3 linked regions of the Canis lupus familiaris genome follow. The protein of the gene in region 1 purifies or fractionates together with the protein of each later gene. This does not show direct contact. Links are inferred from orthologs where the notes say so. Each region holds a gene or a part of one and is shown on either strand. Other genes may lie near its edges.

Region 1 (4,348 bases):
CCTGGGGAGTACAAGTATGAGGTCAACACTGCCAACTTTCAACACTATCAAAAGAAGTGGTTTGTTTTTTTTTGAAAGACACTGGAACCAGAGGCCATCTACATGAGTTCTAGCCTATATGACTCAGAATTCCATTTGTCCTACCCTTTGCTTCAGAGCTGAAGTCAGAAATGTCTCCATCTGTGTCATAATTATTTCCAAAGCCAATTAAGAGATGGCAAACAGAAAATTATGACTTCAGGTAATGAATAAAATGGCAAGAACGGGTAATTGTTTAGAATGAACATTTAGTTCACCCAAAGCAGACAAGTAAATTGAATGATTTGCTTTGTTTATTCACTTAGAGAAAAGACAAACCATTACACTTTAGAAGAATGCAGGGGTGCCTGGGTGGCTCAGTCAGTTACACATCAGATTCTTGGTTTCAGCTCAGGTCACGATCTTGTGGTCGAGGGACTGAGCCCCACATTGGGCTCCACGCCCAGTGTGCAGTCCGCTCCCGATTTCTTCCTCCTTCCCCTTTGCCCCTCCCCACTTGTGCAGGCGCTCTCTCCCTCAAATAAATATATAAAATCTTTAAAAACAAAAAACAAAAGGGTGCAAACGTGGTGAGTTGCCTTGTTCTCCATAGGAGTGGGAAAGCCCTTTACAGATTTTATTATGGTGCTTGCTGCTGAGGGGTAGAGGTAGCAAAGGGGTCAATGATCCCACTAGAGGTAGGAAAAGGGGTGTTAAGACTTTCTGGTCTTAAGAGAAGGTAGAAGATGATGACATGCTTTTAACAGTACTGTCAACTCTAGGAAACATTAAGTGTAAGAGGAGTAGTCAGCAATTTGTCTACATGTCCTAAGACATAAATAGAACCACATTTCCTTATTAACCAGTAAGTACAGCCCAATAAGCACAGAAAAACTAAAGACTTTATCTCATTTGCTATTAAATAGATTACAAAATATTATTTTAATAGCTTGTACAAAATAAAAACTCAGAATGAATTCAGTTTAAATAATGCATTTGTATAAAAAGACAACAGTTTGTGTAAATGGGGTCCATTTTTTCATGCTTTTAAGAGTACGATACAGATAAGGACAAAAGTTTGTGTTAAACTAAATATACAAAAGATTTCATTATCTTGTCCCTCAGGCAAACTGAAGTCAATGTTCTTTTCTTTTGTTACCATCAACTGGCACCACAAGCAACCTGTGCCGAGGAAGTGCCCTCCTAGTGTAGCATTAAGGGTCTTTCATACTCAAGCCTGAACGCACACATTCCCAGCCCCTTTCCACCACACCCCTTCGAAGACTCCAAGCGCCTAAATAAATAAATAAATAAATAAAACCCCACTTTCTAATTAGAGCTAGAGAGTAATCCTCACATTGTTCCCAGGTCATTCTTTGTCTCCATTTGTTAAAGTCCCTGCAGGGTCGGTGTCCTCACAGGTAGGGCTGTCACCTACTACACAGAGTGCCATTAACCGCACGTTAGTTGGATTAAACTTTGGTTTCTTAAGGGCAGCAAGTTTGTGTGAATCGACCTCACATTTCCAACTCCCATAAACTCAACACCTGGCAAAATAGAAGCTTGAAACCTATCAATTCCTTAATGCTCTTAATCGAATGGCCAACTCATCCTGGACTTGTAGGTGGGGGCGGTAGGTTTCATCCCCCGTACGGTGAAACAGCGCTCTCCTGGATCAGTAGGATCTCAGGCATCGCAAAAACACCCTCCCCCCTCCCCAAACCGGCCCAAATAAAACAAACAAAAAGCAAGGCATCTGAGTCTTCTTTACCAAACTACCGGAATAAACGGTCGGTGGAAGGGTCCCAGCTTCGCGGGGTGCCTGGAGCAGCAGTCCTCGGCAGTCCGCGTCCTTTACCCAGAGTGCAGACGGGGTTTTCGTATTAAGATCCCAGAGGGGAGCACGGAACGCACGGCGATGCGCGGCCCCAGCGCGCCCACAGGCCTCTCGCTGCCCGCCCTGCACTTACACCGCTGGGGGGGGGGGGGGGGGGGCGGAGGAGGTCACCCCCGCGGCAGCGCCGTCGCGGCCCCACTCGCCCCGAGAGCCCCGCACCTGCCCGTGGGGGCTGCTCTCCGCCCGGCCCTGGGGTCGGGCGCGGGGCACAGGGCCTGCCCCCGCGCACACCGCACAGCCGCTCCGGGAGCCCCAGACACAGCTCCTTTGTCTGGACCACGTGGGAGGAGTCTGCGCGCAGCGCCGAGGATTCGCCGAGGCCGAGTGAGCGCGCCCGGAGGCTCGGCTCCGTTACGGTGCCGGCCGCTGTCCCGGCGTCGGGGGCGCGGAGGGCGCGGAGGGCGGGAGGCCGCGTGCCCCGGGGCGCACCTGCGCGGCCGCAGCATCCACCCCCGCTGCAGGGCGGGCCGCGCCACCTCCTGCCCCCGGGGCGCCGGCCCCGCCTGGCCCGGGATGCGCGGCCCGGGTACCGCCGGGCGGGATGCGCGGGGCTCCCGCAGGGTAACCCGGGCTGCCCCCGCGCTGCCCCGCACGGTGACCCGAGCTGCCCCGCACGGTGATCCGGGCTGCCTCGGGGGTGACCCGGGCTGCCCCCGGGGGTGACCCGAGCTGCCCCCGAGCTGCCCCGCAGCACCGCCGCCCGCGCCCCCGCGGCACTCACCCTGGCGCCCGACGATCTCGGCGACGTGCTCGGAGCTGGGCACCGGGACGCACTCGGTGGTGTTGACGCTCTTCCTCCGCAGCAGGGCCGCCTGCTCCCCGTTGAGGGCCGCCGCGCCGCAGCCGCCGGGCCCGTAGGCGTGGGACAGCACGGCCGCCATCATGGCCGGGGCGGCCGCGTCCCCGTACAGCGCCCCCGCCGCGTCCCGGGCGTCGAAGCCGGCGGCGGGCAGCAGCACCGGCCCCAGGGGCCCGCCCGGCAGCGGCGGCGGCGGCGGCGAGTGCGGGGCGGCGGGCGGCGACAGCAGCAGCAGCGGCGGCCGGGGCTCGTCGGCGTCGTCGGGCTCGTCGGCGTCCGGCCCCCGCCCGCCCCGGCCCCGGCCCCGGCCCCCGCTGCCCGGCCCCGTCCGCGTCCCCGGCCCCGTCCGCGTCCCGGTCCAGCGCGGCCTCCGGGGCCCCGGGCCTGCGGGGCGGGGCGCGCTCCTCCGCGGCCGGGGCGGCGCTGCCGGGCTCGGCGGGGCCGGGGTCGTCGAGGCCTAGCGCGGCCAGGCGCCCCCGCAGCAGCGGCGCGGCCCCGGCGGGCTCGGGCTCGGGCGCGGGCGCGGGCTCGGGCGCGGGCGCGGGCGCGGGCTCGGGCGCGGCGGGCGGGGGCAGGGGCGCCAGGGCCGCGGAGCTGCCGCTCGGCATGGCGGCGCGCGGGCGGCGGTCAGGCGCGGCGGGCGGCGGGGCCCATGGCGGGCGCGCTGGCGGCGGGGCGGGCGGCGGGCGGCGGGGCGGACCCCGGGGCCGCGGCGCGCCAGGGCCGCCCGGAGCCTGCAGACGGCGGGGTGCGGCCGAGCCGCGGGCCAGGCAGGTCCCGGCGGTGGGTGGGGACGCGGCGGCGGCGCGGCTCCCCTCTCAGGGCTTCTTTTGTTCCATGGCCTCGGCCAGCCCCCGGCGCGCGCCGCGGCGGCCACGCCCCACGCCCCACGCCGCGCTCCCAGCGGGGCCGGCGCGCTCCGATTGGCTGCGCCCGCCCCCGGAGCCCGCCCCCTCCGCGGCCCCGCCCCCGCCCGCGCCTCGGGCCCCGCCCCGCCGCTCCCGGAGCTCGCTGATTGGGCGGCCGGGCCGGGCCGGGCCCGCTGCCTTCCCCTTCCGTCCGCTCCCCTCCCGCCGACAGGGGCCGTGATTGTCCGCTCCGCACGTCAGTCTTTGTGACGCGGCGTCTGGGGGCGGGGAAAAGCGGGCGGAGGAAGGCGCGGTAGCCGCTGAAGGCCGGGCTGCGCGGAGAGCGCGTCTGCGCACGCGCGAGCGGCGGCGGCGGCGGCGTGCACCTGGGCGTCCCCGCCTCCCCGCGGGTCCGGCTCGGCCTCGGTGCGGGCAGCCTCGGGGTGCAGCGCGGGCGCCGAGGGCGCGGTCCCGTCGTTCGGGGGCCGGGGCCCGGGGACAGTCCTCGGAGGAGCGAGGGGCGGGGTCCTCCTGGGCGGCCCGGGGCGCTGCTCCCGCGGGGCCGGGCCCTCCCCCGCCCGCCGACCCGGCCTCCAGCCCCGCCCAGGTGCCGCGGGGCCCTCGAGCTCCACCCGACTTCTTTGGGGCTTTTCAAGAAAGTTAAGCCGTTTCCTCCTGCGACGCGCTCTTCCCCAGTGTGGCCCAGGCCACCCCACGCGGGGTCTCCTCTGCAGGTGCATTGTTCCGCGGCCCCTTAGGAGCCAGACCTGCTGCTTCCCGACGTCT
Region 2 (3,579 bases), on another chromosome or scaffold:
ATATGTGCTCTAGAAAAATCAACAATAAAGACAGTAAAATAAGTCATTCCTGAAAGTTTCTCAAAATCTACCAAGTAATCTTAAATTTTCTCTAAAGCTTTCTCAAAGATAATTGTGAAAATCTCTCCAAATCACCTCCTGATTTGTAAAAACAGGTTAAGAAATTTTAAGAGTATTATAGTTTATTATAGTGTTTTATTACATTCAAAGAGACCCATTGATGTGTTGCCTGTTTAAATCACATATGTGTAAGTATGAAACGGGGGACAACAGATGATGATAAATGGGCTCATTTTATTTATCTATTGTTTTCATTTAGTCACTCTAAGTTTGAATACGTTTGAAAATTCCAATAATAAAAAGTAAACATATGTATAAACACATATATTACTTGAGAATATGGTGGGCTGGACAAAAACCAGTCCTTCCTCCACAATAAAAACTTAAAATAGGTCAAATTAGGCTTGTTCCAGAATCCTTCCATCCTCTCAACTGGACAAAAATCTAAGCGCTTGGGTACCAAACGAACAAAAATTCTTTATTAAACCATCAGTTAGCCCCTATCCCTGACCATCTAATTTTACAGGTTCTATTTCAAGAAATTTACATTATTGCAAAGATGCCTTTTTCTCCCTAAACTGGAAATACCTATATGAGTTATAATTCATTTTCACCTCACTCCACTGCACATTGTTAGCCCCACTGGGTATTTAACAAGTTTCCATGGATTGCATGATATCCTGTTTATTTGGAAGCCTGAAACCTGGAGCATGGAGCCCAAACACTTATTATCTTCTCATTTGTCCTCAAGTAGAAAATTTCAAAGACAGTGGCTCAGGGTAAGAGTGACTCAAAAGCAACACCAAAACACAACTTGGGACCAGCTAAACATTCTATAAAATAGATACTAATGCCTTGTATCTTTCCTTATGGAATTAAAAAAAAAAAAAAAAAGTGCCACATGGTCTTACTCGAGGGAAAAAAAGAAAGGTTGAATCTTCTAATGCTGGTGGTGATACCTATCAGAAGTCATGGTTTAAGCACATATATACCTGCACCAGCTTCTGTGCCTGGAAGGTGGCTACAAGATTTTTTTTTTTTAAGATTTTTATTTATTTATTCATGAGAGACACAGAGGGAAAGAGAGGCAGAGACACAGGCAGAAAGAGAAGCAGGCTTCATGCAGGGAGCCCGATGCAGGACTCCATCCCCGGACTCCAGGATCACACCCTGGGCCAAAGGCAGGTGCTCAACCGCTGAGCCACCCAGGCATCCCATGGCTAAAAGATTCCTAATGATAGGTACTACAGTACCTTAAAACAAAACAAAACAAAACGTGGTTTTCTTCATCCCTTGACCTTGATGCTAAACTTGAAAGATAATAAAAGCCAAGGCTATTCAAAGAATAAGATGAACCAGATGAAATATTAAAGCAGAGATCTGAGCACATGATTTGCAAGTAAGAGACAATGTCTATTTCAAGGCAAATTCCAACTCTATTTCAAAAAGTTCAACAACAAAGAAAGCATTCAGAGGTTATCCAGTGATTAACTCAAAGTTATTCACCTCCAAGTAAATAGTGCATTAGGCAAAAAGGGGAGGCCTTATTCCTCCATCTTCTCAATAATGGCACCTAGTCATCAATCACTCCATTCAAATGAGCTCCAGTTACTAGCAGAGTCAACATACCACTTGGGACTTTCTCCCCTTCATTATATGGACAAAGTTAAAAATATTAGTAAGAGAAATAAAAGGTCCTCAAACTTTAAAGTGTTATGTTCTAGCTGCCAAACACTTAGAATATTAATTGTCAAAAAGAATTTTGTCTTAGAATTTTCCTGTATAAGAATGCATTACAATAATTAGGCAATAAATAAAACTTTGTTTCTACTCCCACACCAGAAAAGACCACAAACGTCTGAAGAAATAATCTTTAAAAAAACTGATATAGGGACGTCTGTGTGGGTCAGCGGTTGAGCATCTGCCTTCGGTTCAGGATGTGATCCTGGGGTCCTAGGATACAGTTCTGCATCAGGCTCCCTGCAGGGAGTCTGTTTCTCCTCTGCCGATGTTTCTGCCTCTCTCTGTGTGTCTCTCATGAATGAATAAAAAAAAATATATATATATATATATACATCTATATATAGATATATATAAATTTAAGGTAAAACTCAAAAAATTATTAAAGAGCCAAGGTTTCTGAGCAAACACAGGGGTAGGTATGATACAAAGGTTTGCTTTAAGACCCCTGTATTTTAGTAGCACTTGGTTTTCACTTGAGAAAACAACTAATGTGTGAGACATAATCTGAGGGACACACAGAATTCATGTTTCTCATAGCTAATCTGTTTCAATATCCCAGAGACAAGATTTGTTTTAAATATGCTTTTTAGGGGATCCCTGGGTGGCTCAGCGGTTTGGTGCCTGCCTTTGGCCCAGGGCATGATCCTGGAGTCCCAGGATCGAGTCTTGCGTCGGGCTCCCGGCATGGAGCCTGCTTCCCCCTCTGCCTGTGTCTCTGCCTCTCTGTCTATCATGAATAAATAAATAAATAAATCTTTAAAAATTTTTAAAATAAAAATAAACATGCTTTTTAGGAAAGCCTCGGTGGCTCAGAGGTTTAGCGCTATCTTCGGCCCAGGGCGTGATCTTGGAGACCCAGGATGGAGTCCCATATTGGGCTTCCTGCATGGAGTCTGCTTCTCTCTCTTGCCTGTGTCTCTGCCTCTGTCTCTCTCTGTGTCTCTCATGAATAAATAAATAAATAATCTTAAAAAAAATAAAATAAACATTCTTTTTAAAGGGATGCATTTTAAGTACTGCTCTCTATAAAAGCAGAAGCTTATTACCATTGGATTTGAATCTGCTATGAGATCCCGCAGAGAATCCAGAAATCCCTGATCTTCCACCATTTGGGCATTGATATCATGGAGTTTTGCCACACAAACTGCTGCTGTTTTCCGAACATAGGGATCTTCATCCTTCAAGCACTTGCGTAGAGGCTCACAGAGATATTCTGTAATCTTGTCCACCCGGATGCACCCCATGGTCCTGACTGCCAAGGCCCGAATTAGAGGATTGGGATCTTCACAATCCTAAAAAGAAAGAGAAAGAGAGAAAGAAAGAGAAAGAGAGAGAGAGAGGAGAGAAAAAAGAAAAAGAGGAAGAGGAAGAAGAAAAAAAGAAAAAAATCATTGACAACTACAGGTATACATGGTGACTAAAAAGTAAACAGTCTAGTTTATACAAGCCTCAGAAGAACATTTCCTTTATGTAAGCTTCCAGTTACACTCTGTATCAGACACTAATCCCCCATACTATTGTTTCCTAAGTACAAATCTTAATTGCCTATTTAAGAGCTTAGGTTAGGAATTCATTTAACTATTTTACAAACACAATGAAGAAATGCCCAGTAGTATTCATTCCAGGGTGAGGCAGAAGTCAACTGGTATTACCATCACCATGGCTGTTACTGTATGTGCCTTAACAACAGGAAAAAAATGAGGAATTGGAAAAACGTGTACCACTCCCGAGTCAGTCTGCAAATATCCCCAACCCTGCACATGCATTCACTTTCTT
Region 3 (4,186 bases), on another chromosome or scaffold:
TCCTTTCTCTCACATCCTTTATTTTTTTTCTCTCACATCTTTAAATTTGAAGCTCACTAGGGCTTCATACTCTGTTCTTGCTCCATTCTATGTCTCTGAAATATTTCATCTTCTAGTGTCCCTATTCAAATAATTATACCATTCATTCACAACCTAAATCCTAGTTCCACTTGCCCAGTCATATTTAACAAAAATGTGATTGAATTCTTATGCAAATCCTCAATAAAGGATTAAGCAGCTCACTTAGATAAAATAATGTGAACTAAAATAAGCAATAATGTTCTGAATAAGCACTAGAAGGCAATATTACACAACTTAAGCCTGGTTTCCATGACTACTTTTTGAAATATTTCAACTAATTCTTCCATTAATTGTAATTGACAGTTTGTACAAAAATGGATCAATGATCAAAAATCACTAATAAATGTCATATATGCAATTAATCTCTATTAATTTTGTCTAAAACTGCTAATATGGTTCTAGATACACAAAATTGTATTATTACACAAGTATACTAGTAGAAAGTTAAAATAGGAATTTCAGTCACAAATTAGAAGTCTGGAACAACATACAAAATAAATTCTTTGAGAGAGGTTTGTAAAAATGTACCTAGAGTGACATAATTCAGACTCAAAGCTCAAAATTATACCTATCAGAGCAAACTGTCCATTGAGGTTTTGTGCTGTTTTCAAAAATATGATCAAGAAATACATTTGTGTCATTGTGGTTTTCAGTTTAGATAGCAAAAGGTAGTTACATACGTTTATATCCATAAGATAAACTGCTCAATCCTGTAAACAATTACAGACATGAGAAGACTGATTTACCCAGAAAAAATGTGAACAAAGCTCCATCTTCACAATTCTGCAATAGATAAGAGCCCTAGTACACAATGGTAAACTACAAATACCTGACTTAACAGCCTAGTCCCTTTCATAATGAAAGGACATCTTGTTATTGCCTAAGACACTGCACATTCAATAAATACAGTAAGCTCTGTAGCTTATTTGACAAAATACTACTATGCTTTCCCCATGTGTTGCAAGAAGCTGTGAGGAAAAAAAAAAAAAAAGATGAAGCCAACTCCCAATTACCACTGTCAAAGCCAAGCTGGTGAAACAAGTCAGTCATCATCCTTCAGGGTATGTGGCATATGAGGACATGGAAAAGAAAACAATAGGACAGCCCTCAGCAAAAAGACACCCACATTTTAAGAAAAAGAAAATGAAAGTGACTTAAAATCTACATCAAGAAAGATGAACATGCAGGGAGCCTAGGAAGAGATGTAGGAGCTACTCAAATTTTCTAGTTGGTGGCAGCTAAACACTGTATAAGCAGTCATATTTCGAAGTTCTATAGCTTTCCCCCTTTCCCCACAAAACCCCTAGGCCCCCAATACCCTAAAGCCTATAAGTGAACAGAAGATAAAGGGAAATGGCTGATAGGACGTCAGAACACAAGTGCAGCTGCAATCACATCTCCAGAATACCAAAAGGTCCAGATATCAAAGTACAGCTCTAAAAATCTCCATCAGGCACCTTTCACATCCACATAAATCTCCATCTCCATCTCCTTTGCATAAATCTCTTTAAAACTCCATGCTTTATCCAACAGCATGATTATCTAAAACTATATATATATACATGTATATATATATATATATATGTATATATATATATGTGACACTACCCTTAACCTATACCATTGCTCCCCTTAGTGAAAGGCAGATTTTTTTTTTTTTAAGGGAGGTGGAAAGTGGAGGATGGAATATCTTGGCGGGGGGGGGGGGGGGGGGAGGGGGAAGAGGGCGAGGGATAAGATACGTGCAAATACCATTGCGGCAGAGATACTGGAAACGCCACTTCCCTCACCGCTCTTGGAAATTCTCTCCGTGCAATGCCTTCTCGCCCTCTACCAATTCCCTCCTCCTTCCTCAACAATACACACACACACACACACACACACACACACACGTGTCATAACCGACCGGCACCATCACCTTTTCTAACATCACATGCTTACCTCCCTCCCACTCTCGCTGACCCCCTACAAAGACAGTCACACGCACTGGGCAGAAATTGTTGCCACCGCACCCTCCTCTCTCAGTTAAGTGCTTCCAGCACCCAAGCGCCAAGCGCTCGGTAAACAGGTACGCAGGCACACATGCAAGCTCTTCTACATGCATACACGCGCGTGCACGCACACACATGCGGCGTGTGGCTCGAGAAGGCCACCGGAGACGCACCTGGAGGCTGGGTGTCCGGCGCCGCTGCCCCCCTGGTCCCTGTCACTGAGCGCAGCGGTGTAAATCCTCCGGTAGCGGTCGGCCAGGGCCCGGCCTGACAGCAGCAGCTGGTAGTGACCCCGGGAGTCCGCGGCCGGCAGCCCCAGCCCCAGCCCCGCGGCAGCCACGGAACCCTCGGCAACCGGCATGAACAGCGCCCCCGGCGCCGGGGAGGAAGAGAAGGTGACGGCTGGGAAGAAGCCGTCCCCGCCGGGCCCCGAGGAGGCGGCGGCGGGGGAGGCAGTCGCCGAGCACATCATCATCCTCGCCGCCGCCGCCGCCTCGTCCCTGCGGGCCGGGCAAGCAGACACGCGCGCGCACACACAGCCCTTTGCCGACGACGACGGCTCCGGCGGCGGCCTCTCGCTCCCGCGGCAGGGGACTACAAAGACAGCGTCCTCCTCCTTCTCCTCCGTCTTCTCCTTCTCCCCCCTGCGCCGCCCTCGCCGCTACTGGGGCCGCTCATCTAACCCCGCCACCTCGGGAGTGTGAGGAGGAGGCGGTGCCGCCGCTGCCGCCGCTGCCGCCGCCGCCACCGCCGGGGCTACCCGCAATGGGAAGCTGCCGGCCGCACTGGGCATGCGCCACTCCTCGCACATGCTCAGTAACCCCAACCCGTCTCCCTCCCCTCCCCCCCTCGCCACCACTCCCTCCGCCTCAGGCCTTTGGGTGTGGGGTGTTTGAGTTGTGCCGAGTCCGAAAGAAATCCGCTTCTCCGGGTTTTACTGGCAGCCTGAGGAAGAGTAAGGAAAGTGCTGAGAGGACTCAGCTACAGGCTCTTGGCTTCAGGTAATGGGGTTCCCCTCCAGGTGAGAGAACTTGGACCTTTGAGAGGGAATGTGTGTCGTCCCCCCCCCCCCCGCCCCCGGCCCCCCGCCAGAAAATGAGTGTTATGCATTTTTCAGCTACTTTTTCTCAAAATGTGTGCTGCCAGCGTGAAGATGCACTGGGAACAGCGCTGGTTACTTTAGAATCAAAGGCAGAGAAGGCCAGCCAAATTAGTATCTCTCTGGTGATTTTATTTTGGATTTTTTATCATTAGGATTAAAATGGTTTTTACCTCGAAAAACAGGTAGTAAGCTAGTGCATTCTGAAAGTAGAATTCACAGATAAGACAGTAGAATTCACAGATCATTCACATTCCTAAATTCTTATTCTCAACATTGACATCAGAGCTAAACCTTAACGCAGTAGTACTTTCCTTACATATTACCTTGACCCCTTAGAGTGCACTCTTACCTCTTGACAGCGGCCACTTAATGGCTTATCTTTTTCTGCCCAGACTTACATTACTAGAGATAATTCTTGAAAATGACCTGACGCTGTTAATTGTGACTCTGTGCAACTTCTGAAAATGTCATTATCTACCAAAGATCTTATCCTTTTATCTATTAAAATGTAACATATGCTGAGTCCCTTGTGCCAAGCCATTCTACTAACCCCTTAGAAGTAGGTGCTCTAGAAATGCATGTGCCAAGAAACCCTGATTCCTAAGTGTTTTTCTACTTGACTCTCAATTTGAAGAGTTTGCCTAATTTATACTCCTGAAAAAAATCGTTTCCTCGTCCTGTCATCCCAGTAGTATTTTCTCTATCTACTTACTAACTTTCTTTAAAAAGATTTATTAGGCAGCCCCAGTGGCTCAGCGGTTTAGTGCCACCTTCAGCCCAGGGTGGGATCGAATCCCACCTTGGGCTCCCAGCGTGGAGCCTGCTTCTCCCTTGGCCTGAGTCTGTGTCTCTCATGAATAAATAAAATCTAAAAAAAATAAGTAAGATAAAATCATGAATAAAATAAAAAGATTTATTTATTTATTTATTTGAGAGCGAGCACAAGAGAACCCATATGCGCTTGCTTGTATTCAATGGGGGGAGGGGGAGGGCAGAAGGAATCTTCTAGCCC

Evidence for each region.
Region 2: the proteins of RNA-binding E3 ubiquitin-protein ligase MEX3C (region 1) and AP2B1 purify together in Homo sapiens (affinity purification with mass spectrometry; 4 studies listed by BioGRID and IntAct, with this or other methods). This does not show direct contact. The link is inferred for Canis lupus familiaris from reciprocal best matches to the Homo sapiens genes MEX3C and AP2B1.
Region 3: the proteins of RNA-binding E3 ubiquitin-protein ligase MEX3C (region 1) and MYCBP2 purify together in Homo sapiens (affinity purification with mass spectrometry; 3 studies listed by BioGRID and IntAct, with this or other methods). This does not show direct contact. The link is inferred for Canis lupus familiaris from reciprocal best matches to the Homo sapiens genes MEX3C and MYCBP2.

The regions. Positions count from the first base shown.
Region 1 is NC_049222.1:23,929,111-23,933,458, reverse strand, and holds the start of RNA-binding E3 ubiquitin-protein ligase MEX3C, read right to left. Parts: upstream 2,834-4,348; 5' UTR 2,800-2,833; coding exon 2,637-2,799; intron 1,809-2,636; exon of another isoform or gene 1,790-1,808; intron 1-1,789. UniProt on the Homo sapiens protein: E3 ubiquitin ligase responsible for the post-transcriptional regulation of common HLA-A allotypes. Binds to the 3' UTR of HLA-A2 mRNA, and regulates its levels by promoting mRNA decay.
Region 2 is NC_049230.1:38,021,426-38,025,004, forward strand, and holds part of AP2B1 (AP-2 complex subunit beta), read right to left. Parts: intron 3,096-3,579; coding exon 2,850-3,095; intron 1-2,849. UniProt on the Homo sapiens protein: Component of the adaptor protein complex 2 (AP-2). Adaptor protein complexes function in protein transport via transport vesicles in different membrane traffic pathways.
Region 3 is NC_049243.1:30,958,183-30,962,368, forward strand, and holds the start of MYCBP2 (E3 ubiquitin-protein ligase MYCBP2), read right to left. Parts: upstream 2,839-4,186; 5' UTR 2,548-2,838; coding exon 2,246-2,547; intron 1-2,245. UniProt on the Homo sapiens protein: Atypical E3 ubiquitin-protein ligase which specifically mediates ubiquitination of threonine and serine residues on target proteins, instead of ubiquitinating lysine residues.